Linked DNA regions of Ovis aries. The protein of the gene in region 2 purifies or fractionates together with the protein of the main gene of each other region. This does not show direct contact. Links are inferred from orthologs where the notes say so. Each region holds a gene or a part of one and is shown on either strand. Other genes may lie near its edges. The genes, in order: BAG3, HSF1 and HNRNPA2B1.

Region 1 (8,090 bases), on a different chromosome or scaffold from region 2:
GCTACTAGGGAAGGATAGGAACTAAATTGTTTTTACCTTGGTGACTAGTGGAAAATAAGCCATCAATTCACTGACTGGATTTATCGAGTGCCTGATTAGAAACATAGGCTCTAGAAGTCAATTGACTGAGTTCAAATCTCACCTCTCCAAGTCATGAGCTTTGGGACACTGAGCAAGTTACTTAGTGTCTTTAAACCTTAATTGAGGAGAATCTTAGTAATAAGTATCCATTAGGCTACCGGGAGGATTGTTCCAGGGTTAGTTCCTTGAGAAGCAGATGGCGAGAGAGAAATTGGCCAACAGGATTTTATGAAGGGATCCTCCTAAGAGAAACACCAGTAAAAGTGAGACCAGGAAGCAGGACTGGGCAGAGGGAGAAGCTGAGCTGGGATGCAGTCCCAAGCAAGTAGCAGCCCACCCCAGGAGCATGCTCTGGAGCTGGGAGAGCACGTTAGCAATGCCTTGAGATGAACCCGAAGGACAGGGTCCTGGCGCCCCTCCGTCAAACAGTCACTGGATCCAGGCTGCCCTGAGAAAGAGATGTGACCTTGGGCAAGACAATTTTCATCAACTTAGTCAGTCTGCAAAGGACGCTGGTGATTGGTTTCCTACAGTGTTCTCAACATCTACATCCTTCATTCCTCCAAGGGGATTACATTCACTGTCACAAAGATTAAATGAGATTATCCACATAAAGCTCATACCACAGTATCTGGCATTCAGTAAATGCTTGCCACTTGGCCACCGTTACAATCATTGTTTTTACAACTATTAATTGCCAGGCACTGTGCTAGAGGCTGGGGACTCAGTGTCAATTGAGATTCTGCTCCTAGGCTCAAGAAACTCAGTGCATAGCAAATCAGACCATCAGGCAAGCAACTGCAATGCAGCACACTTGATAGGGTGCCCCAGGATTTGTATGGGAGCATCTAGAAAGGACACATGACCCAGACTAGGAAGGCAAAGGAAAGTGATACCAAAGGTGATACCTGGAGATGGAGGGGAGTCAGCCAGGCAAAGGGTGTGGGAGCTGTCAGCAGTGGTGAAGAAGGTTGAGGAGGTAGTGTGCTCATGATATATATAGTCCAGCAGAGCCAGCAAAGAGTGGGCATCAGAGAGAGTGGAAGAAGGGTCTTTTACACACCAGGCCAATGAGCGTTGGATTTGGAGATAAAAAGGGCGATGGGGAGCCATTCAAGCATTCTAACCAGAGAAAGGACATGGCCCACTTGTGCTTGAAAATGGTCACTCTGGCCACCATTTTGGCAATGGATTGGACACGAACAACCTAAGAGGCTGTTTCCAGGGTCCACACGAGGGACAAGGATGACCTGGACTAGGCTGGTGGTACTGAAGAAAGAGAGGATACCCATAAACAACGAGTACCGAGGTGGTGCCATCTACAGACTCAATGATGATTAGAAAGAGAAAAATGGAAATTCAGGGTCATGCTTCAGCTTCTGATAGGCAAATGAACTGCAGAAGGCCTTGTGTCTTGGTCCATTCGAGCTACTATACCAGACTAACTCAGACCAGGGGGGCTTATAAACAATAGAAATGTATTTCTCATAGTTCTGGAGGCTGGAAATTCCAAGATCAAGGCACCAGCTGATTCAGTGTCTAGCAGGTGCCAGAGGACAGCCATCTCCTCACTGTGCCTTCACATGGTGGAAGCAAGCAGGGAGAGAGCTCTATGGGTTTATTTATTTATTTATTTATTTTGTATAAGGGCGTTAAGCTCATTCATAAGGGCTCCATCCTCATGACCTAAGCATCTCCAAAAGGACCCACCTCCAAATGGCATCACATTGGGGAATATGTTTCAATATATGAGCTTTGGGGGACACAAATATCTAGTCTATAGCCCCTGGGGAATGAGTGTCATAAGATCTAGAAAAAGAAAAAGCCATCAAGAGTAGACATGTGCCTCATTATTCAGCATGGCTTAAAGGAGCTTCTTCTAGACAGTTCTCCAAGATTTATGACTCCATTGTAGACAAACCCACTTGAAACCCCTGATGGGCTATAACTCTCAGAAGTGGGGTATGTTAATCCCAGAGGAAACTGTTTCCTCCCTGTTTCTCTAGCAAATCTAACAAAAAAGCAAACAAATGTTAACACTAGCAAAGAATGTTCCGTCTTTAAATGTAGTTGTAGTGAAATCAAGCAAAGGAAGAAAATACAAATAAACATTCACTTTGGAATCAACCTTCAATAAACATCCATATTTATTGAATACGGACTCTGGGCCCAACCTTCTGCTCAAGGCTTCAGAAATAAGGAAAAATATGAGAGCCGCTGGGACTTCCCTGGCAATCCAGTGGTTATGACTCTGTACTTCCAATACAGGGGACACAGGTTCAAGCTCTGGTCAGTGAATTAAGATCCCACGTGGCACCCAGTGCGACCAAAAGTAAAAATAAAAAAGAGGCCCACTGACTAGTGCACTTGCAGGCCCAGCTCTTTCAATAATAATACTTCTTATGGTAAATTGGTGCACTAGCATTTGGGTTTATACCTCAGTCTCTTATGTATTTGGTGGTGACTTGAGTCAGTTGTTGTTTAGTCACTAAGTCATGTCTGACTCTTTTGTGACCCCATGGACTGCAGCCTGCCAGGCTCCTCTGTCCATGGGATTTTCCAGGCAAGAATACTAGAGTGGGTTGCCATTTCCTTCTCCAAGGGGAACTTCCTGACTCAGGGATCAAACCTGCATCTTCTTGTTGGCAGGTAGATTCTTTACCTCTGTGCCACCTGGAAAGCCTGACATAGTACAGGGCTTAAACATCTCTGTGTTTTCACAAAGCTGAGTTTTTGTACTTCAAAGCTGGTAAGTAGACCTATGTAAGTGAGACCCCCATTCCATTGAAAATGATTGGCAGTTCTCTTCAGCATTTGCTCTAAAAGGAGTAATTTGGGGGTGGGAAGAGACTCCAAAAAAGTGTTTCTGAGGGTTCCAGAATGTCCTCTGCATTTGAGTTGGAATATTGGGCCCAATATTACTTAGCCCAAGGCATCTTCTCAAAAATGTTTCTGGGGAAGGGAATGATCCTGCAGGCCTAAAAATCTAAAATGAGACCTCCCAACATACCACCTCTGGGGGCATACTTTCTCTCTCTCTCCCAGAGGAAATGAGGTGCTTGGTGGAGGTTACAAGTGCAACCACCATTTCATTACACAAATTTTTTTTCATAATTTGTATTCTTTCCTACTTTTCAAAGGGCTTCCCAGGTGGCTCAGTGGGTAAAGAATCCGCCTGCAGTGCAAGAAACATGGGTTTGATCCCTAGGTCGGGAAGATCCCCTGGAGAGGGAAATGGCAACCCACTCCTGTATTATTCCCTGGACAGAGGTGCCTGGCAGGCTCCACAGGGTCGCTAAGAGTCGGAGGTGACTGAGCACGCATGATTTACACTACTTTCCAAATGAAGGTCAGATTAAGATAGCAAGAACCAACTTGCACCATCAACAAGCCCCAAACCCCAAAGAATGTTTTTTCTTTAAAGTTCTTCACTGCAACGACAGAGTCTACGTTTAAGACATGTGCTTCAGCAACATGCATGCGCTGATGCAATCTTTCTTTAGGATTCGAAAGAAAGGCAGGTGAATTTCTATTTGTACTTCCATTATTCGCCCTGGCTTGCTTCTGGTGTCGGATCAACATTCCAGAGCCCTTTCCGGACGGCCCTTAAGCCCATGGGGAAAAGTGATTAACTGAGGGTCACCAATGTCCCGGAGTATCAGTAATCTGGGGGTACAAAGGCGAGGTGGGAGAGACTCTAGTTTAATCCCCAACGACTTAAAAGGCTAACGATGAGTTTGTTTTTACACGAAGGAGCCAGTCCCGGGAACACCCACGCGGCTCGAAGAAGACCAAGCAAATCTGAAAACCGAAACCGGCCCAGGACACACAGATGACGTCCCCGGGGGTTCGCTCGACCTGCCGCTCGGCGACACAGGGATCCCGCGGATGCAAACCCCTCGCCCAGCTCAGGGAAGACTCCGCCAGGAGCCCCCGACCCGGGGAGCCGCGAATAGGGGGAAGAGGTGGCGGGGTGGAGGAGGGGCGGCCGGCGGAGGCCCCGCCCACGCCCCGCCCACGCCCCGCCCCGCCCCGATTATAGCTGATGACTCAGGGCGGAGCTCCGCATCCAACCCGCGTCGCCGCCAACTTCTCTGGATGGGACCAGAAGTTTCTAGCCGGCCAGTTGCTACCTCCCTTTATCTCCTCCTTCCCCTTTGGCAGCGAGGAGGCTATTTCCAGACACTTCCAGCCCTCTCCGGCCACGTCACCCCCTCCTTTAATTCATAAAGGTGCCCGGCGCCGGCTTCCCGGACACGTCGGCGGCGCTCCCGACTTTCCGCTCCGGCAGCGGCCAGCGAGCGACCCTACACCTGGAGGTCCGGCACCCCGCGACCCCGTGACCCGGCACCCCGCGACCAGGCACCCTGCAACCCAGCACCCCGGCGGCCGCCCCTCCGGGCCGACCCCGACCCAGCATGAGCGCAGCCACCCACTCGCCCATGGTGCAGATGGCGTCCGGCAACGGCGCCAGCGACCGCGACCCCCTGCCCCCCGGCTGGGAGATCAAGATCGACCCGCAGACCGGCTGGCCTTTCTTCGTGGACCACAACAACCGCACCACGACGTGGAACGACCCGCGCGTGCCCCCCGAGGGCCCCAAGGTGAGCAAGGCCCGCGCCGCACCCTTGCCAGTGGCTCCCCCTCCACCTTCCCCCCAGCCCCCCATCGACGGCCAGTCTAGGGACAGGGCCGGGCGGGGGCGGCTGGACTGGGCCCGGCTGCGGGGACGCAAGGCGCCAGGTGCCCGCCGGCCGCAGCCGGTGCCTCGGAGGTCAGTGAAGGCCGCCTGGAATGCACGGATCCCCAGAAGGACGCCAGCTCCCAGGGGGGTCGGCCTGCTGCGCCCCCCACGAGCCCACTCTCCAGGCCCGCCCTTGGCCGGCGTCTGGGCCAGTTTGGGGAGCTTCCCAAGAGGACTGCCCTCCCTTGGCCGTGTTTGGTTTCCGGGGGTCGGGCGGGAAGCGGGACCCGCGCGGTGGCACCAGGTCCCGTCCACCGGCTCCATTCGAGGGGCCCTGGGCCAGGAGACGACGGGTGGCCGGCCTGCTCAGCACCAAGGCCCGGGCCAGGCCCTGCCACGGTCTCCACCCGGCTTCCAGGGCTCAGATCCTCCTTTCTCTCTGCTGACCGTGCTTTGGCAGACGCCAGGGGACCGTTGGCAAGCTTCTGTGGGGGTCCTTTAGGGTCTCTTAGGAATTTTACATCCTCAAGTTCCTAAACTTGGTTGAGGGTATCTGGAGTTCACTCTCCCACCTCAGGCACAGAGTGACTCAGGAGACTGATGTAAATGCATTCCTTTTCTTTATTTTTTCCCTTCTGTATTTGAAATTAAAACTCTATTATTGTTTGAAAGTTGTCCTCACTAGGAATATATTCTAGTATGACTTGTTAAAAATAAGATGCAATCTTCCAGGCAATTTCTAAACTGAAGATGTGAGACTGTCTCCTAGTTGACTATTGCCTTAGATACTGCCTCACCCTGGTCAGAAAGAGATTAAAAAAAAAAAAAAATCAACACATTCCCTTTCTCGTTATGCTACTAAAATATTTAGGATTTTTTCTTATCCCCAATACACAAATAATTTAGTAGTAATACTTTTGTATTAGAAGTATGCCTCATTTACATATACGCAGGGGTGTATATACTACTTAATCCTTAGAACCATGAAAATTTGAAAATATAAACTTGGAATGAGTCTGTTAATTTAAAAAATTATAACTAATTGTACTGCTCTTGTAATTTTTATAACTTTGAGCTTTTTCAAAACGTAAAGCTTGGCAAAAAGAAATAGTCTGGGCAAAATAGAAGACATAAAGAGCTGGTAAGTTATTTTTAAGATTTAAAAATTCACAGAATTAAAAATGTTTTATAAACCATTGTTTTAGAAGAAAAAAATCTGTGTTAACCATCTTCAGTTTTATGCAGCTTTTTCCTTTAAAATATTTATGAAACTCTGGTGCCCAACAGTGAGATATTGTATAATCAGCAGCTTATGCTTATGAGAAATTAATTGTATATTTATTCCTGAAAATTATTTCAAGAGGCTGTAATTAGCTGGGATCGACATAACCATGTATTCCTTTCGCTTGTCTGTTCAGCCCATTATTGAGTGAAACTAAAGCTCATTTTAAACCAGCTCTGTTACTGCAGACTGCAAGGGTGTAGATCTTTACTGAGGCCAAAAAAAAAACCAACCTGTCTTTTTGAGGCTTCCTTCCTATAGAGACAGGAAGAGTCAGAATCCACTGGCGTCAGTGGTGGTGAGTGTAGGTCAAGTAGGAACGTATCCACTGTGAGTTCAGTGTACATGCCACATTGTTGGCGCTTGGTTTTCAACGTGAAACTCACCCAGCAGGTTGAGATCTTATGTATGATGGATGGTTAGGCTGTGGTTTTACAAACTTTTTCAAGGCAAGGGGGCGGGGGGAACAGGTTAAGTTACTGTTATTTTTCTCAACAAGTAGAACATAAGAGCTAGTAAATCAGAAGTTTGATGCCATAAAAGTTGATTTGAAAATTTAACAGAATTTTAAAGTTGAAAGATCGTTTAAGATCTTTTAGCTCAGCCTCTCTTTTTCTGAGAAAGAAACCCAGAGAGTTCACATGTGTTTCCAAAGGCCATTCAGCCAGGACCAATAGCAAAGAGAGACCTACACCGGAAAGTCCTATTTAAGAGGCAGTTTATTGTTCAGAGGAAGGTAGAAGAGTCTTAAATTTCTTAAATTTCTATGAAATTTAAGTGTGAACTGGGAAGGCTGGAGTACTTGATTGTTTTTCTGCCCTTCTGACTTTTGTGACTACTTGGATGGTGATGGCTGGATGTGATCAACTCAAAAAAAGAGCTGCTTACCAAATTAATTGAGATTTCTCAACGTGGCACTAGAACATAAGGAGAAAACTAACATTCACTTCGTTAGCTCTGTGGGCTTCATGGCTTTCAAGACTGTGCTTTGATGTACACAGAACAACTATGTGACTAATTCACTTTAACTTCTGTGAATGACACCTCACTCCAGAATAAATACAATGGAAAATAAATACAGTGGAAACTCTTTCAGTCAGTTCAGTAGCTCAATCATGTTTGGCTCTCTGGGACCCCATGGACTGCAGCATGCCAGGCTTCCCTGTCCATCACCAACTCCCGGAGCTTACTCAAACTCATATCCATTGAGTTGGTGATACCATCCAAGCATCTCATCCTGTCATCCATCCCCTCTCCTCCCTCCTTCAGTCTTTCCCAGCATCAGGGTCTTTTCCAGTGAGTCAGTTCTTCGCATCAGGTGGCCGAAGTATTGGAGTTTCAGTTTCAGCATCAGTCCTTCCAATGAACATTCAGGACTGATTTTCTTTAGGATGGACTGGTTGGATCTCCTTGCAGTCCAAGGGACTCTCAAGAGTTTTCTCCAACACCACAGTTCAAGAGCATCAGTTCTTCAGTGCTCAGCTTTCTTTATAGTCCAACTCTCACATCCATACATGACTACTGGAAAAACCATAGTCTTGACTAGAAGGACATTTGTTGGCAAAGTAATGTCTCTGCTTTTTAATATGCAGTCTAGGTTGGTCATAGCTTTTCTTCCAAGGAGCAAGTGTCTTTTAGTTTCTTGGCTGCAAACACCATCTGCAGTGATGTTGGAGCCCCCTCCCCAAAATAAAGTCTCTCACTGTTTCCATTGTTTCCCCATCTATTTGCCATGAAATGAATATCCTTCACTAGCACTTTATATCAGAAATTGGTTTCTTAATGTGGATTGAGAAAAGAGCTCTGGCAAAAAACAAAGGGTCATTTTAGAGGAACTGAGCTACGAGGACCCTCTGAGCATCCTTACCTTCCAGGGAAGATGCTGTCAGTCAGTAAAGAGCTATTCACCGAACATGAAAAGCAGAGAAAGCCGTCTTCAGGGGAAGACAGTTTCTGGGGTGTTTGCAGTTTAATCATATGGGTAAATGAATGAATTTCTTGGAAAGAAGAAGACTAGAACTTTGTGTATGGTTTAGTTTTATT
Region 2 (8,090 bases):
ATGTTCTTTCCCTGGAAGGTTCTTGGGCAGTTGCCCAGGTCTCACGCCACCAGCAGGTGAAGCAGCACTTAGCCAAGACCTGTGGGACCTCTCGCATAGCTCCTTCTTGCTAGTACCAGGTTCTGCCAATGCTGGCTGCCTCAGCTTCACCAAAGGCCAGGCTCTCAGGGTTTGAACATTGCCTCAACAGAAAGCAAGGGCTCACCCGTCCTTTCGTGTAACAGACCTGAACACTGTTGGAGGGTGAGTCCATATTGGGTGTGTCCTGCCAACCCAACCTTAAGGGCTTTTAGAAGCCTGGGAGGCTTGCTGGTGAGTCCCTCACAGGACCCAACGCATCTTCCCTCTTGCCTCAGGAGTTCAAGGCCCCTCCTTCTCTGCTGACCCCATGTCTTTCCTGAAGATCTTGGCTTACCCTCAGACACAAGAGGGACTAGTGATGGGACATACGGCAGGGGAAGGGAGAAGCTGATGCCCAGCTGCTAGCTGGCGAGCAATGCCTTTGCCTCTGAAATGCAGGGCTTAGTGAATATCCAGTCTTGCTATAAATTTGGAGCCTGTGGCCCTATTTCCTACAGAACTGTGAACACCCTGAAATGTATACAAAGTTCTGCATATGAGCACATCTTTATAGAGGGAGGGTCTGTCTGTGAGCAGATTCTCCAAGAGCTCCACATCAACAGGATTAACCACCACGGTGACTCCAGTGGTCCACCTGCACCTTTCAAGAGTCTGCCCAGAACAGAAGGCCCGTCCTAGTCCTCCAGCCAAAGAGATGGGTCTGCGTGACATGTCCTGGGAGTCACGGGCATGCAGCGGGCACCCGCATGCGGTGAGAGCGCCAGTGCTGTGTGGATGCGGCTGCAGAGCAGCTTGGTGTCCTTCCCGGCCTGTCTCTTCAGCCAAGAAGGAGCCCGCTCGCACCACCCTCAAGTCCCTGTCCTATTTGTGCTCAGGGTCGAGCTCTCCAGCTCCCGCCCCACACTTGGGTCTCCAGGCCCAGCTGAACGCAGGGGCCTCTGCTGACTCAGTCACCACTGGGCCCAGGGCCAGGGGCTCTGGGGCCGCTCCCAGCGCTCCCAGGTTGGGAATCCCTGCAGCCAGAGGTGCAGACGTGGGTCCCTAGCCTGTGATACCTGACGAGACTGACTGCTCTGCCCAGGGTGGGTCCTGTGGGCCCCCTGATCCCTCTGAGCATACGCGGCCTGTGGAGCCAGGCGGGCTCACATCCGCTGTGTCCATCTCTCTCCCTCCAGCCCCTTCTGAGTCTCTGTGCCCCTCCTCCTCACACCTCCACCCTCCTACCTCAGCAGGAGGGACAGATAGATCTCTGCCTGGCTCATCCGTTTCTCTGTCTGTCCATACATATATCTGTGTACCTCTACGGAAGGTGAAATGGGGACTCTCTTGCAAAAAAATACAATTCTATGAACACCTGAGTACTGATCAGTCCAAGTATGGCCGGGGTCCAGTTAAGAAAGCAGGTGGGGTGGACCAGAGCCTGGACCCCACCGGCGAGGGCCTTGCGCTGCCCTCTACCCAGGAGACACGGCATGCAGCGAGGGCAGGTGTGAGCCACAACTGTACACCAGCGAGAGACCGTGGACTCTGGGTCCGGTTCAGCCGTCCTCCTGCTTTTCATTTGTGTTTCCTAGCGTCTCTGAGACTCAGTTCCCGTGTCTGTAAAAGGCCAGCTGCCACCTCTGCGTGGTGCCGTGGGAGGAGGTGAACTGATGCCCTGGGGCTGGGCCTCCTGCTACGTGGAGGGCCGGAAAGGGCTGGCCGGGTCCTGGGTGGCAAGCTCAGGGGGCACCAGGGGCCTCCAAGGCTTCAGTGCCCCTTGCAGCCTGTGCTGTGTGCTGGGTGCTCCTCCAGCCTTTCTTGGCCACTGCCAACCCCCGAGGGCAGGGCGGAGGGCCTGCTGGGGCCCACCTGGCTCCCAGCTAGGAGGAGGAGCGGCCTGCCTGTTGTGGGAGCCCCAGGAACAATCCTCAGCCACCTCGGAGTGGTCAGGTGCAACTGGGGCCCTCGAGGAGTCCCGCAGAGAGCTGGCAACCTGACTACAGGCTGCTCTGCAGCCAGGGCCTCCAGAGCGACCCTCTAACTGCAGGCGCTCACACTGGCCACCTGGGATGGGGCCTGGTTTGGCGACACCCAGCTCCTAGGCAAAGGAGGCCCTTGCTCTTAGGGCCTCATGGTGCCCACAGCCTAACAAGAAGAGCCTCCTTCAGCAATGCACCCACCCTCCTACCACTGTTAATGCTGTCTTGAAGCCAAACAGGCCTGATTCACGGAGCATCCCATGGATGCAGCTGCCACGCTCACCAGGTTCCTTCCCAAGGTTGTGGGGCCTTCGGTCCCACAGGGCTGTCTGAGGGGCAGCCCTGGCATATTCTGTGGTGGCCCCACACCAAGCATGGTAACTGACCGGGGGTCTGGGAGGGAAAGGAAACCAACATGACTCTCCAGGTAGGGCCTCAGACTGTGCGGAGGATGCACAGCACTGCTGGGGCTGGAAAACCCCCCACCCCGCCCCCTTTTCCTGTCTCTGGGGGCAAACACAGGGTCCTCGGGGCAGAATGGGGAGAAAAGTTCCAGCTGGAAGGGAGGCACCAAGAGAACAGATGCCAGAACATTCCAAGGCCTCTGGAAGCCAACGCCGGGCTTCAAGACCGCAGAAGTCTCCCCCAGCAGACTTTCTGCCAGAGGCCTGGGGCTTTGTGTGGGCATCGCAGAGGACTCAGGGAGAGGGCCATCTTCTTTCTCAGGGCCAGGCAGCTCCACAGCCCCTGCCCAGCCTGGAAAAGGGCTTCCTTCCACAGCTGAACCAGTGCTCAGGTTCTGTCCTGCCTGGCACCACTAGCCCCCTGCCCGCTGCACCCCGCGCCAAGCACATCCTGGTTGGCCTAAGGACAGAGGGGAGGGAGGTTAAATGCACGGGCTCCAGCCGGCTGCTCCCACTCCTTCCAGTTTAAGTTCCAGCAGGGCTGGTGGGTGGTGCAGCCACTGTGTGTGAGGCTGTGGCAGGCTTGATCCGTCCTGGTTTCCAGCTCTAAGGCCTTGCTGGGAACACAGGAAGTGGGACCTGGAGAGCTCGCTGGCAGGGCTTTGGCTGCTGCCTCACAATCTTTAAGCAGAAACATCAAGCAGATCAAGAGGCGATTATCCCAGTAGATTAAGCTCAGACTATCCCAAAGGATCTCCGATGCCCCTCCCCAACCTGGCTAAGAGTATTTCCTGGGAGTTTAGGGGACAGGAAAAGAAGAGAAATGAAGAATAAAGACAGAAACCTGGGGTCATTTCCTTGGGTCAGCAAAGCTTAGGGCCTTGAACAAGGGGATGGTAGTAACAGGACAGGCTTGGGGAAGGAAGTACAGCCTCCTCTTGGGGAACGCTGCGCAGTTACAGAAGCAGGCAATAGGGATGGAGCGTGGCACACAGGTGTGTCACTGGGACCAACACGAAGTGTTCCCTACAAGGACGCAGTATGATTCTGACTCTCTTTACCAGCTTTGAGACAGAGCTTCAGCAAATAACCCAGGAACCAGAGGACCTGGCCTCCTGCTCTGGGCTCGCCTCAGCTCAGACTGCTGCTCCTTTCTAACGGCTTAACAGTGTGAAAGAGAAGTACTTAGAAGAATCTGGGAGAGCCAGCGCCCTCAGGAGAGCAAGTGTGCCCGGAGGCACCCAGAGGTTCCGCAAACCAGGGCAGCCCAGGCCGCACACCTGCGGGCCGCGAGCTATGGCTCGGGCCTTTCCCGGACGCAACGTCACAGCCCGGACGCAGATTCTCAGCCGCAACTCCAGACAGTCTCTGCTTTACCTCTGCAAGCGGGGTAGCTGTCTGGCCTGCAGGGTCAGACCATGGAGACGAGCCTGCTGCCAGGCAACTGGAGGCAGGGGCGTGGATAGAGAGGCCCCGAGAGGAACGAAATAAAAAGTGGCTCTGGGGGAACCCAGCTGTGGTATCCGGACACGAGTTCGAGACCCACCACAACTTTATGACGTTTTGCTTTGTTTTTCGGTCCCTTTCCTTTTCAGTAGAGCAGCGCCCTCCAATACCTGCGCCAAATCCTCATTTCCTCGCAACAGCTGCCGACCCCACCACCCTGGTAACTCATCTGAGAAGCTGTGGGGTCACCTGGCCACCACACTCGCTACGAAACTGGGCGCTGCCCTCAAGCCAGGCGCGCTTCCGCCGTCGTCTCACAATTACTCGGCGAGAGACCGAGGAGAAGAGGCCCTTCCTGCCCAGACCCGGGCAGCGCGCACCGAGGGGAAGCCTCGGACGCTCTCCCGAACCCCCGGCTGTCCGCCCCTACAGGCCCCGAGGCCGGCGCGCCCAGCCCCTCACCGGGCTCCAGCAGATGAGCGCGTCCGTGTCCGGGTCGCTCACGAGAGTCCACAGCTTGGTCAGGAAGGCCGGGACGTTGCTGGGCCCCGCCGCGCCCGGGCCCACGGGCAGATCCATACCGGGCGAGACGGGAGAGGAGGAGGTAGCAACCGCAAAGAGAGGCCGAGGGACGGGCTAGCGCAGCCGCCGCGCCTGCTGCCTGGGCCGCGCTGCCGCCGCCCGCTGCGCACACACGGCCCCGGGGCCTGGCATGGCCGCCGCCATCTTGCGACGGGCGCGCTCCCGCCGGCGCCGCCCGCCCGCGTCCCCACGGCGCGCGCGTGCGCGCCGGCCCAGCCCATTTGGGCCCGCCTCTCGCCCTCTGACCCTTCGGGCCCCGCCCCCGGGCCCACGCGGTCTGTTAGCTGCCGGAAGTGGCGGCGCGGGTCCTGGCGGTCAGGGAGCATGGCTTTCGCGCTGAGTGGCGCAGTGGCGGCGGCGACAGTGGCGCGGCCCGGGAAGCGGCCGCCGGAGCCGGAGCCGGAGCTGGAGGAGGTGACCACGGGCTGCTCGAGCGGGACGGGGTGGCGCGGCTGGGCCGCACATGGCGGCTCCGGGGCGGCCAGCGCCGGGGAGCAGGGCCCAGGAGTGCGAGGAGGCGGTTTACCAGCTCTGTGCTGGCGGTGGCCTCGTGGGGGCGTCCTGGGCAGGGGGCTCCCGTAGTGTGGTTGGAGAAGTGTGGGCCGGAGCGAACTAGCAAGAGGGGCTGGCATCGTGCGCGTGGCCTCCCTAGCCCTTTGGATTGTGGTTCCTGCATTAAAGAGGTTTGAGCATGTTAGTACGTTACTGATACGTCGGATACGTTGTAAAAGGGCACGAGAATAGGAAGGCCGTGCCTGCTGTATTGGCCGCATCCTTTTTTTAACTGCACCTAAAGCCATTCCATTCAGACATGCAGCGGAACCTCAGCTGGGTTTGGGGTGTCATCAGCCCTCCAAAGATTGTCCAGCCGCGCCTGCCTAAGGGAGCACTCCACGTTGCTAGGTTGTCAGGCAGCCCCTTTACCCTGACCAATCCTGCTGCCCTCCTGCTAGCAGGCATTCTGGGCACCAGGCTCAGCAGCCATATGTGTTTGTGCCCAAGCCATTTGTGCCATTTTTATTTGCTGTTGTAATTGTGTAGCTTACTAAGCGTTGAAGTAGTGTGTATCAGAGTTATTTCTGTGGAAGTTCAGTTGAATGCTGCTAATTGGTGAGTGCAGGCTTTCCTGTTAGCTGAGAGAATTAGTAGCTATTAAAAAGCAGAAATCTAGGGTTCTCCATTCAAGTAAGTGCTTGCTGAAAGTCTGTAAGTTCTTGTTTCCCCTCTCTAAGTGCATGGGTCTTGTGAACTTAGGGATTGGGTGGTGTCTGGTCAGCAGACCTCTGCTCAGAGGAAGCTCTAGTCCTATCCCATGGGGTGGTGAACCAGAACACTTGCTTTTAAGTAAAGTTTGCATCATTTTTACGTCTCTTCAACCAGTCTTTACAATTTACTGATAAATTGTCAGTCCCTATCTGGTTGGATAGAGTCCTCTTCAGGCTGGAAAAGCGCCTCAGGTTGTGGTCCTCTCTGCCTGTCCCAGACCCCACTCCAGTGCCCTGGTAGCTCTGGAGATGTGAATGCCAGATGTGGCTTTCGGGCGTGAAGGGTGGAGAGCTGGTGCAAGTGATGTGATGGAAATTGAGCTCCTTGGAAAGTCCTTCTCTTGTGAGACTCTAACTGAATGTCTCCTCCAAAGGCAGGAGGCCTGCTGGCGGTGGAAGTGGGTGGTGAGGGAGGCCTGGGTTGGGTGGGTGGTTTTGGTGGAGCTGGAGGCTTGTGGCCTGAGGGCCGTGACCGAGGAGGCTGGCCACACAGGCTGTGGGTCAGCGCTTGGTTGCCTGGTGGGTGGGCTTGGGGTCATCAGTGCCATGCCTCTTGCAGCCCTCTCTCCTCGGCGCTCCGGCTCCCAGCAGCAGGCTTGGCAGTGATCCTGGCCTTAGTGACAGCGAGGAGAGTGTGTTTTCAGGCCTGGAAGATTCCGGCAGCGACAGCACTGAGGATGCCACTGCCTCGGAGGAGGAGGGGGCGGGGACCAGTGAGCAGCGCAGCAGGATGGGCAGGAGCCCTGGGCAGCAGGTAGGTGAGCCAGGAGTCTCCTGAGGGCTCCCCGCACCCCAGATGACCATGGCCAAGATAGCGCCTGCCGGGCATCGGGCTCTCTGAGGGCCCCCGGCACTGATCTCTCCCACTCCGTGGACCCCAGGGCCTCCTTCCTCCTCCCTTGGGCACAGTAAGGGCGGGGCAGAATGCCGCTTGGAGCCGAGGAGCCCTGTGCTCTGTTCACGGTAACCCAGGAACCCTGACGTTACTTCTCCAGGGTCTTGGGCTGCCTGCTAGACTTAGCTGTCAGCTGGCTTCCTCGGGGCGAAGCCCAAGGTGGGATTTCTGTGCAGTGACCTAAGGTGGGCCCTTCCTCCGCCTCCTTGACAAAGAGTGACATCTTCAAGCGGCACCATTTGGGAGAGGAGGTGTTCCTGTCCACTCCCTTCACTCTCCTGGTGACTGCAGTTCATGGCTGGACAGTCTTGCCCCTGTGACAGCCCTGTTGTGTTCTGCGTTAGCCTGCTTCTCGCATCCCGAAGCCAATGCAGCGCTGCTCGCCTATGAAACCTTCCCACCACAAGGGCTGTTCTCTGGCTCAGGGCCCTCTCGAGGGTCTGCTGACCACCTTCCCCTGTCACAGCCTGTGGCCACCCTGTGTCATGAGGCCCTGCCGTGTGGGTCCTCGTGCAGCCTCGTCAGGGAGCATCCCCACCACACAGCTTCAGGATCCATGTGGCGGTGACGCTCAGGCGGCCACCAGCCCCTCCACTGAGCGGCCCAGCTTTGGAATGGCAGCCTCGAGCTCCTGTGATGCTGGCCACAGCCACGGCCTTGGTGTGGTTTAGATGACGTGTGGACTTAGGTGACTTGCCCACCTCCACACCCCCCCCCCCCCGCCCTCTCTGCCAGTTCTTAGCAGGGCTGCCTGAGCGGCCCCGCCTTAGTGGGGCTCCTGGGTGGCGTTTCACCAGCTCCACTCACTGCACTCTCCGCAACCCTTGGCAGGACGCATCGCTGCAGCTTGTCTCGAGGCTTTTGCTGTCCCTTGCTAAGGATTGGGGGCAGCCCCTGCGGTGTTCAGGGGCATGCTGGGGAGATGTCAAAGACCTGGATGCAGGCTGGCGAGGGGCCCCAGCTGGGAGTGTGCTTCTCCAGGCCTCTGCCTGGAGTGGGAAGTGCCGGGTCCAGACGCTTACCTGGGGACAAAGGTGGCCAATGGCAGACACAGGAGGGAGCCTGTTCTCTCTCTTCCGCTAAGAGTTCCATGATGGAAGGGTCACTCTTCAGGGGAGCCCTGTCCCCTGATTCTGTGGGTTCCAGGTGTGCGGGCCACGGGCCGTTCGAAGCAGGAAGCCTCTCCGGCCTCACCGTCATCTTTGGCGCATCCTCCACCGGCCTGCCTCTCCCCACACCTCACCTCTGCTGGCCCCGCTCCCCTCCTGCACCTGGCCCCACCCTCCTGTCTCCACCTTGGGCCTGGCCTCTCCCGCGCACCTGGCCTTGCCCTGCACCCCCAGCAGCGCTCCCAGCAGCACTGGGGGGCACCTTGGGCAGCTTCTCTGTCAGGAGAGACGTTTGGCTCTTGTCATGGAGCGTATCAGGTGCTTTCTGCTGTTCTTTCCCTGTCATG
Region 3 (8,090 bases), on a different chromosome or scaffold from region 2:
TTTAATATCTTTAATTCTTACATTTGCAGAAGTATAACAACACCTGCAAGTAACTTTTTCAGTAATTTTCAACAGCTAAGATGAAAATTTAGAAAAGACATTTCATGTTTATGCTCAAATAGCACATGGTATGATTAAGATTTTAGACACATATTATCAAAAAGTAGAAGAAACTGACCTCCAGGTCCTCCTCCATACCCATTATAGCCATCCCCAAATCCACGGCCACTTCCATATCCATCTGTTAAGGGCAGAAGAAAAGGAGGATTATTTTATTCTGGTTTATGGAACTCAATTTTTTAGCTTCTACTTCCTCCAGGTTGTCCACTTATAAAAAAGCAGGTAACAATGGACAATGCTAGTTTTTCTATTTACTACATAGTTAACTGAGATTAACCAATATATAAAGCCTGAAGCAAAGAAACTTTTAGATCTCTTCAAACCTCTACTGTATTTCCACTCACTATTTGTAAAATGTCTCCTAAATTTAAAATAGCTACAATGTCCTTTTAACTCTTCCAGAAACTGAAGACCATGAAACAATCTCTGCAATTATCTGTCCATGATTAAGAGCTATACAACTCTGATTTTAAATGTTACTACCTCTTGCTAACCAAATTAGAATATCCCATTAGGACCGATCTCACCTTAAGTCTTACAGATAACAAAGTAGGTCAGACTTCCTAGACTCCAATCAAAACTTTTTCAAGCACATTCACCCTCCTCAGCTTTAAAGGTGGACTTACCAGATCCTCCTCTAAAGTTACTTCCTGGTCCTGGTCCAAAATTTCCACCTCCACCACGAGAATCTCCAAAACCAAAGTTGCCTACAATAAACACCCTGGTTAGTAACTAACATTTACACAAATAAATCCTAAGAAAAAAATGGAATTAAAAGTTACCTCCTCTTCCACTTCTAGAACTTTGGACTTCTTGCATTTCTTGTCTAGACAAAGCCTTTCTTACTTCTGCATTATGACCATTGATAGTATGGTATTTTTGCACTGGAATGAAAAGTTCAGAGTCCATTAAGTCAGTATCCTATAATAGTTAAGTTACAAGCTTACTTTTTAACAAAGTTGTAGGTGTTAACATACCCAAAACCTAAAATGTTCAAGAGCTACAATCCTGGCACTTATAGACACTTACACACAATCTTATCCACAGGATCATGGTCATCAAAAGTAACAAATCCAAAGCCTCTTTTCTTTCCAGACTGCCTGTCAGTAATTATCTCAATGGTATCAATTTTTCCATATTCCTCAAAGTAATCTCTAAGATGATGTTCCTCAGTATCTTCCTTAATTCCACCAACAAACAGCTTCTTCACAGTTACATGAGCCCCTGGCTTTCCAGATTCCTGAAATAAGAGGAAAAAAGACATCCTGACAGAAGAAACCACAAATAGGAGTAAGAGCACACCATCTGGGTAATAAACATGGCTTCTATCTTATGGCCAAATACTAAGCAAGGCACCTTTATGATAAAGCACCTTGTTCTTTGAAAAGCCACTAACTGTGAAACAGAATTTCAGCCCAAATTGTTTATTGAACAAACAAGTTGCCTATTTGCTCACCTCTCTTGCAACAGCACGTTTTGGCTCAACCACTCTCCCATCAATTGAATGAGGTCTTGCAGCCATGGCAGCATCAACTTCAGCCATGGAAGAAAAAGTCACAAAACCAAATCCTCTTGATCTTTTGCTTGCAGGATCCCTCATTACCTTGAAATACAAAGTAGTGATGTTACCATTTAATCTCATTACTTACAGCATTTAAAAATAATCAACATAAATTTAAGTGAGTTTCTTTAAGTCACTTAACGTCTTTAACAGAGAAATCCAACAGTTAAAGGATTAGTACCCCTAAGGACTTCCACAATTAACGTACCACACAATCTGTAAGTTTTCCCCATTGCTCGTAGTAGTTCCTCAAACTTTCTTCTGTAGTTTCAAAGCTCAAGCCACCAATAAAGAGTTTACGGAATTGTTCCTTTTCTCTCTGCAAAGGAAAACAGCATTTCAATTTTTATTTACATTTTCTCTTTGTATGCTGGAAATAAAATTCTTAAATATGAGGTGACCTGCTGGCAGAGTACCTTTTTCCTCTCCAAAGGAACAGTTTCTAAAGTTTTCTGGGGGGAAAAAAAAAACTTACATCAAATTTAAACCATATGTTAAACTGCATATTAGTTGTGTTACACCAAAAAAAAATTGCCTCAGCCAAACTACACGTTTCAAAATCATTATGCTTGATATAAACTTACTTGACATTAAATGAGTTTAAACAAATATAGCATCACTTAGTTTTAAAAAAAATCTTTCTGAAGAAAGAAGAGCAAATCTAGTCCCTGGTGACTGTAAAGTTAAGAGTCTTATCAACATCTGCATTCGATCCTATAACTTAGAACAGAGTTCACTTTTACATATTCAAATACAAATTTTTAAAATATAACAACTTTCGCTTTATAACCCAGTTCCCATTTGTTTCTGGATTTAGCATTTAAGAAATGAGTTTCCCTTCATTGCTCCCTCTGGTGGTGATTATAATGTAACTCAATTTTCAAAACTCTGAAAAACTTAGTATTGACTTTCTTTCCTCATATACCAACTCTCCAGAGAAAATCTTAAACGTTCAATATATGTGGCAAAATAGCCTCAAAATTTATCTTTTCTGACGAAAGTATAAAATGACTTTTATGATTGACGGTCTCTAAAGCACATATTTTAACATAGCTGGTTTTGTTGATGGCCCAATCCACTATTACTGAACCAAAAGACAAATACAGTAAAAGACACTGTAACTTCAATTTTCAAAAACCATAAAAATATTTAAATGACCACTGTGACTATCCTCTCTAGTTACAAAATATCACTACGACTTACACTTCACCATGTAGAACTCAGTGGTCTTTTGGCAAATTACACAGCATAAAACAACTTTCATGTGAGAAGAGAGCCTGAGCTGAAATCTCAATCCTTACAAACCAGCACGCATATAAGCTACATTAATAGCTCTGTATTTGGGGCTATCAGTTAAGGAAGCTTGGATCATTTTATTTGGTTTTCAGTTGACTAGGTTAAATAACATTCAGAAACGAAAGTTAGCCACCAAGTGCACGTAGGTAAATTAAGTAGAACTACAACACTCAACCCATAGTTCCATCAAGTTTCTCTCCATGCATGATATTCTCCCAACATGTTAGAAAACAGTAATAATGCAGAGATTTCTTTGCCTGTACAGTTACTTTTAAGATTCTGAAATTTTTGAAAAGACAAATTCTCAAACTAGCTTATCAAACACTTAAAAGAACAATCTATTAAAACGGTAACTTGACATACTGGTATTTGTACACTTCACTTAAGCATATTTTATTTATTCCAAACACTTGTCAGTTAACTGGCCTTTTAAAACCCCAATAAAGAGACTAAAATACATCTACAACATTACAAATCACTAACAAAAGGCAAAAACTCATTACTTACCTCATTTTCCAAACTTACCCGCTGTCCACTATCGATTACAAACAAAGTTATTTTATAAGCGTGCTTAGGGTCAATGAAAATACCCAGGCAGACCCCCTTCGCTTGAGACCTTATGCTTATCAATGTAATCATCAACCATGATTGCAAACATAAACGAGAAAAGCAAGTGACAAAGTTCAAAAACACAGTGGCTCAGCCTAATAAAAGTTTTGTATACAGCAGAACACGCATTGAGGGACCGAGCCATGTTTTAATCAGAGTACAACTAAACTCATAATTTCAAGTTTATCACTAAAAAAACACCCGTAACCTTACCCAGTAAAGACTAAATTCCCCGGTAAAAATACTACTTAAAATACAAATAAATTATACGATTAAAAAAGAATCCGTCAGGAAAATAAAGGATTCTGAACCGAACACCGCCCCCCCCAAAGACCACCTTCCCCACGGCCTCCCGCAAAATCGATAATCTTCTCTAAAATTTTCATTTTATGTTTTCTACGATTCAACTGCCTTTTCAATCACCGGAAACGCAGGTAAAACTGTTACTCAAACAAGGACTGAAAAACAAAATATGAGGTCTTTATACCGTGGCACGCGTGAAACCGGGCCCAACACCCTAGAGGGTTTTACCTCCTAAGCCGAGCGAAACCGCCCAGGAGAACGCCGCCCCTCCCCCCGCCCTTCGGTGCGGCTCCTGAACGCAATGGCGCCATTTCATCGAGGGGAAAGGAGCGAGCCTCTAATGAGGTGCGCAGGACTTTAAAGCTCCAAGCTCCCTACACACTCGGAATCCACCTCGAAACAGCACGAAAACAGTCCGAAAAAAGAAATGAATAGTTACCCACTTCTAGTCCTCACTGAAAAAGTCAAGCTAGTCAAATCTAGAGAATTAAAAAGAAATCGCTGCGAGGAAGGAGAGAAATGAAAATGGCGGCCGCCAAATCCGGTTCCCGGGAGGGGGGAGGGGAAGCTCCGCAGCCCGGTTCGCTAGGACCCAAAACCCGCCGAAACGCTCCAACGCGGGGACGCCAGGACCCCCAAACCACCCTTCTTTAAAAACGGAGTAGGAATTCCTGCCTCCGCGCCCCACTTTCAGTAAAGTGGGGCTGCGTCCGCCATGTGGAAGCTCCCCATCCCCCACCCCCAGCAAAGGGAAATGGCGCCGTGAGGCTGAGGGTGGGGAAGGTGCTGTACAATTAGGCCTCTGCTAACGACCCCTCTCCAAAAATATCCTGAGACCAACCGCTTATGAAGTGGCCCAATTTCGCTGCCGCTCTCCCACGGAGGCGGATGGCCGACTTCCAGTAAGGCGCCAACGGCCTCGCCATGCCCTTTCCAACAACTCATTGATTTCAAACCCGTTACCTCCATCGCGGACTCAGTCGCTTCAGCCCGATTTCCCGCAGCCGAGCGAGATGAGAGAGATCTCCGCGGACGAACACGAACCGGACTCGTCCTGGCGCTGTAGTGAGAACTGCCGCTGCTCGAGAAACAACACCGCTGGAGCACCTCCACTCCAGACCCGGCGCTGCTGCTACTGCCGCTAGAGCCGCTGCCGCCGCTTTTCTAGAACCTTCCCCCCGACTAACGCGTCTTCCCTACGTCAGGCCGTTGCGTAAACGTCCTAACCGCCGCCAATGGCGGGAACGCTCTACGACCTCCTAGCGCCAAGTACGTGCCCCTCCCCCTTTAAGGCCAGCACTGATGCTGGACGTCAGTTGCGTAAAAGGGCTCTGTAAATTGCGGAAGGCTCGAGTCCTGCGTATTTCTGTCTCTCGGAATTGGGGACTGCCCCCGCAGGGCAGGTGAGAAACGGTCGCGCAGTTTGAAATTAACGCTGTTGGGAGGAGCTTAATCCTCAACCCAAAAGTCCAGCCCCCTCATCCCGGGAAGTGGTCCTTACAGCTACGCTTCGATGGCTTTTCCTCGGTCCCCAGTTTTAAAAAAATCTTTGTAGTCTCTTCCACTGTGTTTTCCCTCCCCCACCTTCTCCTATCCTCCCCTCTCTGCGCGGAGAACCGACTGACCCCTTCCGGAAACACCCGAAGCGACTTCTAGTCAACAAATTACACTTAACGATCCACCACCCTAACCCTGGCCAATGTTTTTGGGGTCCACATTTCAGGTAGTCGAAAGTGGTGCTCGTTCTTAGTTCCCGATTCCTCCCACCCACCCCCAACGTTTGGAGGCACCCAACCCCAGGGGCGAGGAAGTGGGCGGAGTCCTGTTTTGGCGCCAGTCGCTAAGGCGGCAGCAAAGCAGGAAACACCTCCGCTGAGTAGGCTTAGGTCGCGGCCCTCAGCTCCCTCCTCGCCCTCCCTTCGGGCGACCACCAGACGCCACGCCGCGAACTCTAAGAGCCGCTGTCACCGCCCCCTGCTTTCCCCCCTCCGTCGGGCCCGGGCTCCGGCTCGGGCTCCCGGCGGGCACTGCGCGGCGCGCGGCCCCACCCCCCGGGGCGCGCGCCCACCCCGCCCCTGGCGGCTGCCTGGCGTGGGCGGTGCCACCTTCCCCTCCCCCCAGCGGCGGCCCCGCGCGCAGCGCTGCTCCCCAGCCCCCCTCCCTCTCGGATGTGACTGGAGCTTGAGGCGCGCAGGGCCGGAGACGTCGCAGACCCGGGACCCGGAGCAGCTCAGAGGCGGTGAAGTCGGTGTCTTTTTTTTTTTCTCTAGCTTTCACTCGGTGGTGTTGCTTAAGATACCGCATAAGCCCCAGAGACCCGCATTTCCCCGCTTCCTATCTTCCTCGCCGGACCCTGAGTCAGGACCTGGCGGGAAGGAAAGGAGAAGCGAACAGAGACCCCGTGGCGGGCCTGGCTTCGGGCCGGCGTCTGTAGTTGGTTTAGGGGATGAGACTCTTCTCAAGGTTGAAAGCTGTGGCGCCAGCCGCCTTATTTCTAGACAAAGCGCATTTTTTCCTCCCCTCCCCCATCCCGGACGAGGTTGAGGGGGCCTTCCTTCCCGTCCCGTGCTTGGTCGGCGACTTGGGCCTCCAGGGAGGGCGGTGCATTCTCCCGCATCCGCGCAGCCGAGTGTCCGCAGACTGCGGCGGGCGCTCCGTTACGTGGCCGCCGCCGGGTGGGGAGAGGCACGGGCCCCGTGGCGCAGTGCCCTTGAGCCCCCGCGCCGCGGCCTTTGTTTCTCCCCGCAGACGCGCTGACCACGAGGCCCGCGCTCTCGTGTGGCGGGGTTAGGGGCCGGGCGCTAAGGCCTCGTTAAGCCGGGTGGGGTAGGGGTTTAAGGGGAGCGGATGAAAGTGCAGAAATAACTGATTTGTTTTCAAAAGTGGCACGAAATGTAACTGGAGCATCTCGGTATGTTTTAGTTTTTCAACTAGTGATTGAGAAGGTCTCTAAGAAGAAACCAAGTTAGAATTAAATTACATAGACGACTCTTCCGATTGTTAATGTCTTAGAGGGGAAATTCACACTAATTATTGTAATCGATTGGACACTTGTCTGATTTGAACCAGGTTATTTAGCTAGTTTTTTAAAATGCTGACTATGGTTTAAATGGGATTCGGATTGGAAAAAAAAAAATTTGTCAAATTTTTACCCTGTAAAGCTTTCGCGGATACTAGGTTCTCAGTAAGGTTGTATAGATAACTTACAGCACTGATATACTCTCAGGCACGTATCACTAGTTTACTCAGAATCTTAAAACTGCTCCTCTGGATTTGTATATGTTTGATGACATGAGCTAACTAGGTGGGGGTTGGAATCAAAACAAAAACTTACGTGTAGCTATCTTTTTATGTCTTACAAACTTCTTAACTGTCATGCATTTTTTTAGTAATAGCTCTTCAAGTCTGCAATAAAAAATGGCCTCCAATAAAACTACATTGGTAAGTTAATGAAAACCTAAAATATTTAAGGATCTAACTCAAACTTTTTTCCTCCCAAAATTATAACTGCACCTCTGTGGTTGGGAAATTACACCCATATGTAGTTCCAAGTTCCCTCTCCCCCACAACTTAATGGGGAGAAGTTAGGAGCATAAAAGGAAATTATTACATTCACTTGACTTCATAGTGTTTCGATTCATTTAAAGAAACCTAATTTTGGGAGGGTAGCACAATGTGAGTTTTACCAAGTATTTTTATTTTGGAAAGATACACAAATTTATGTGACATGGAAGAAGGTTACAGGTATAGACAGACAAAGTAATAAAGCCTTGTTGATTACTGTTCTCTAAGTTACTCTATACTGAATTCTAGAGAAAGCAGGTATTTTCAGTATTGCCCTGTTTATAAAACGGATATCTTGTACAGTTAGATTGAGATGAAAGTTGTTGTGTCTTTCAAATTGTTTTGGTTACTGTCATGTTTCAAACGTGCTTATTCTAAAATACAGAAGGACTTTAAATCATTGCAGTGCAGTTTTTTTAAATACTCAGCATGAAAAACATCACGCATGTCCAGAAAAGAGAGAAGACTAGATCTTCTGAGCAATTTTTTTTCTCTCCAGCAGTTCTTAAACCCACAGTTTGCATTCTTAGGTTTCATTAAAAGTTCTACAGATTGTTGACATATGTGTATTCAGCCTTGTTAAGTTACAGATTTTAATTTAAGCCCTGAAATATTCACATAAAAATCATGAAATTCA

The links.
Region 1: the proteins of HSF1 (region 2) and BAG3 purify together in Homo sapiens (affinity purification with mass spectrometry; 3 studies listed by BioGRID and IntAct, with this or other methods). This does not show direct contact. The link is inferred for Ovis aries from reciprocal best matches to the Homo sapiens genes HSF1 and BAG3.
Region 3: the proteins of HSF1 (region 2) and HNRNPA2B1 purify together in Homo sapiens (affinity purification with mass spectrometry; 3 studies listed by BioGRID, with this or other methods). This does not show direct contact. The link is inferred for Ovis aries from reciprocal best matches to the Homo sapiens genes HSF1 and HNRNPA2B1.

Annotation. Positions count from the first base shown.
Region 1 is NC_056075.1:39,284,907-39,292,996, forward strand, and holds the start of BAG3 (BAG family molecular chaperone regulator 3), read left to right. Parts: upstream 1-4,146; 5' UTR 4,147-4,499; coding exon 4,500-4,685; intron 4,686-8,090. UniProt on the Homo sapiens protein: Co-chaperone and adapter protein that connects different classes of molecular chaperones including heat shock proteins 70 (HSP70s), e.g. HSPA1A/HSP70 or HSPA8/HSC70, and small heat shock proteins (sHSPs), e.g. HSPB8.
Region 2 is NC_056062.1:13,584,405-13,592,494, forward strand, and holds the start of HSF1 (heat shock factor protein 1), read right to left. Parts: upstream 4,639-8,090; 5' UTR 4,472-4,638; coding exon 4,355-4,471; intron 1-4,354. Other genes in the region: ribosome biogenesis protein BOP1, read left to right, coding at 4,799-4,888, 6,299-6,493. UniProt on the Homo sapiens protein: Functions as a stress-inducible and DNA-binding transcription factor that plays a central role in the transcriptional activation of the heat shock response (HSR), leading to the expression of a large class of molecular chaperones, heat shock proteins (HSPs), that protect cells from cellular insult damage.
Region 3 is NC_056057.1:71,301,728-71,309,817, reverse strand, and holds the start of HNRNPA2B1 (heterogeneous nuclear ribonucleoproteins A2/B1), read right to left. Parts: upstream 5,027-8,090; 5' UTR 4,859-5,026; coding exon 4,853-4,858; intron 2,134-4,852; coding exon 2,098-2,133; intron 2,001-2,097; coding exon 1,890-2,000; intron 1,724-1,889; coding exon 1,577-1,723; intron 1,361-1,576; coding exon 1,150-1,360; intron 1,005-1,149; coding exon 903-1,004; intron 828-902; coding exon 747-827; intron 242-746; coding exon 179-241; intron 1-178. Other genes in the region: CBX3 (chromobox protein homolog 3), read left to right, coding at 7,307-7,330. UniProt on the Homo sapiens protein: Heterogeneous nuclear ribonucleoprotein (hnRNP) that associates with nascent pre-mRNAs, packaging them into hnRNP particles.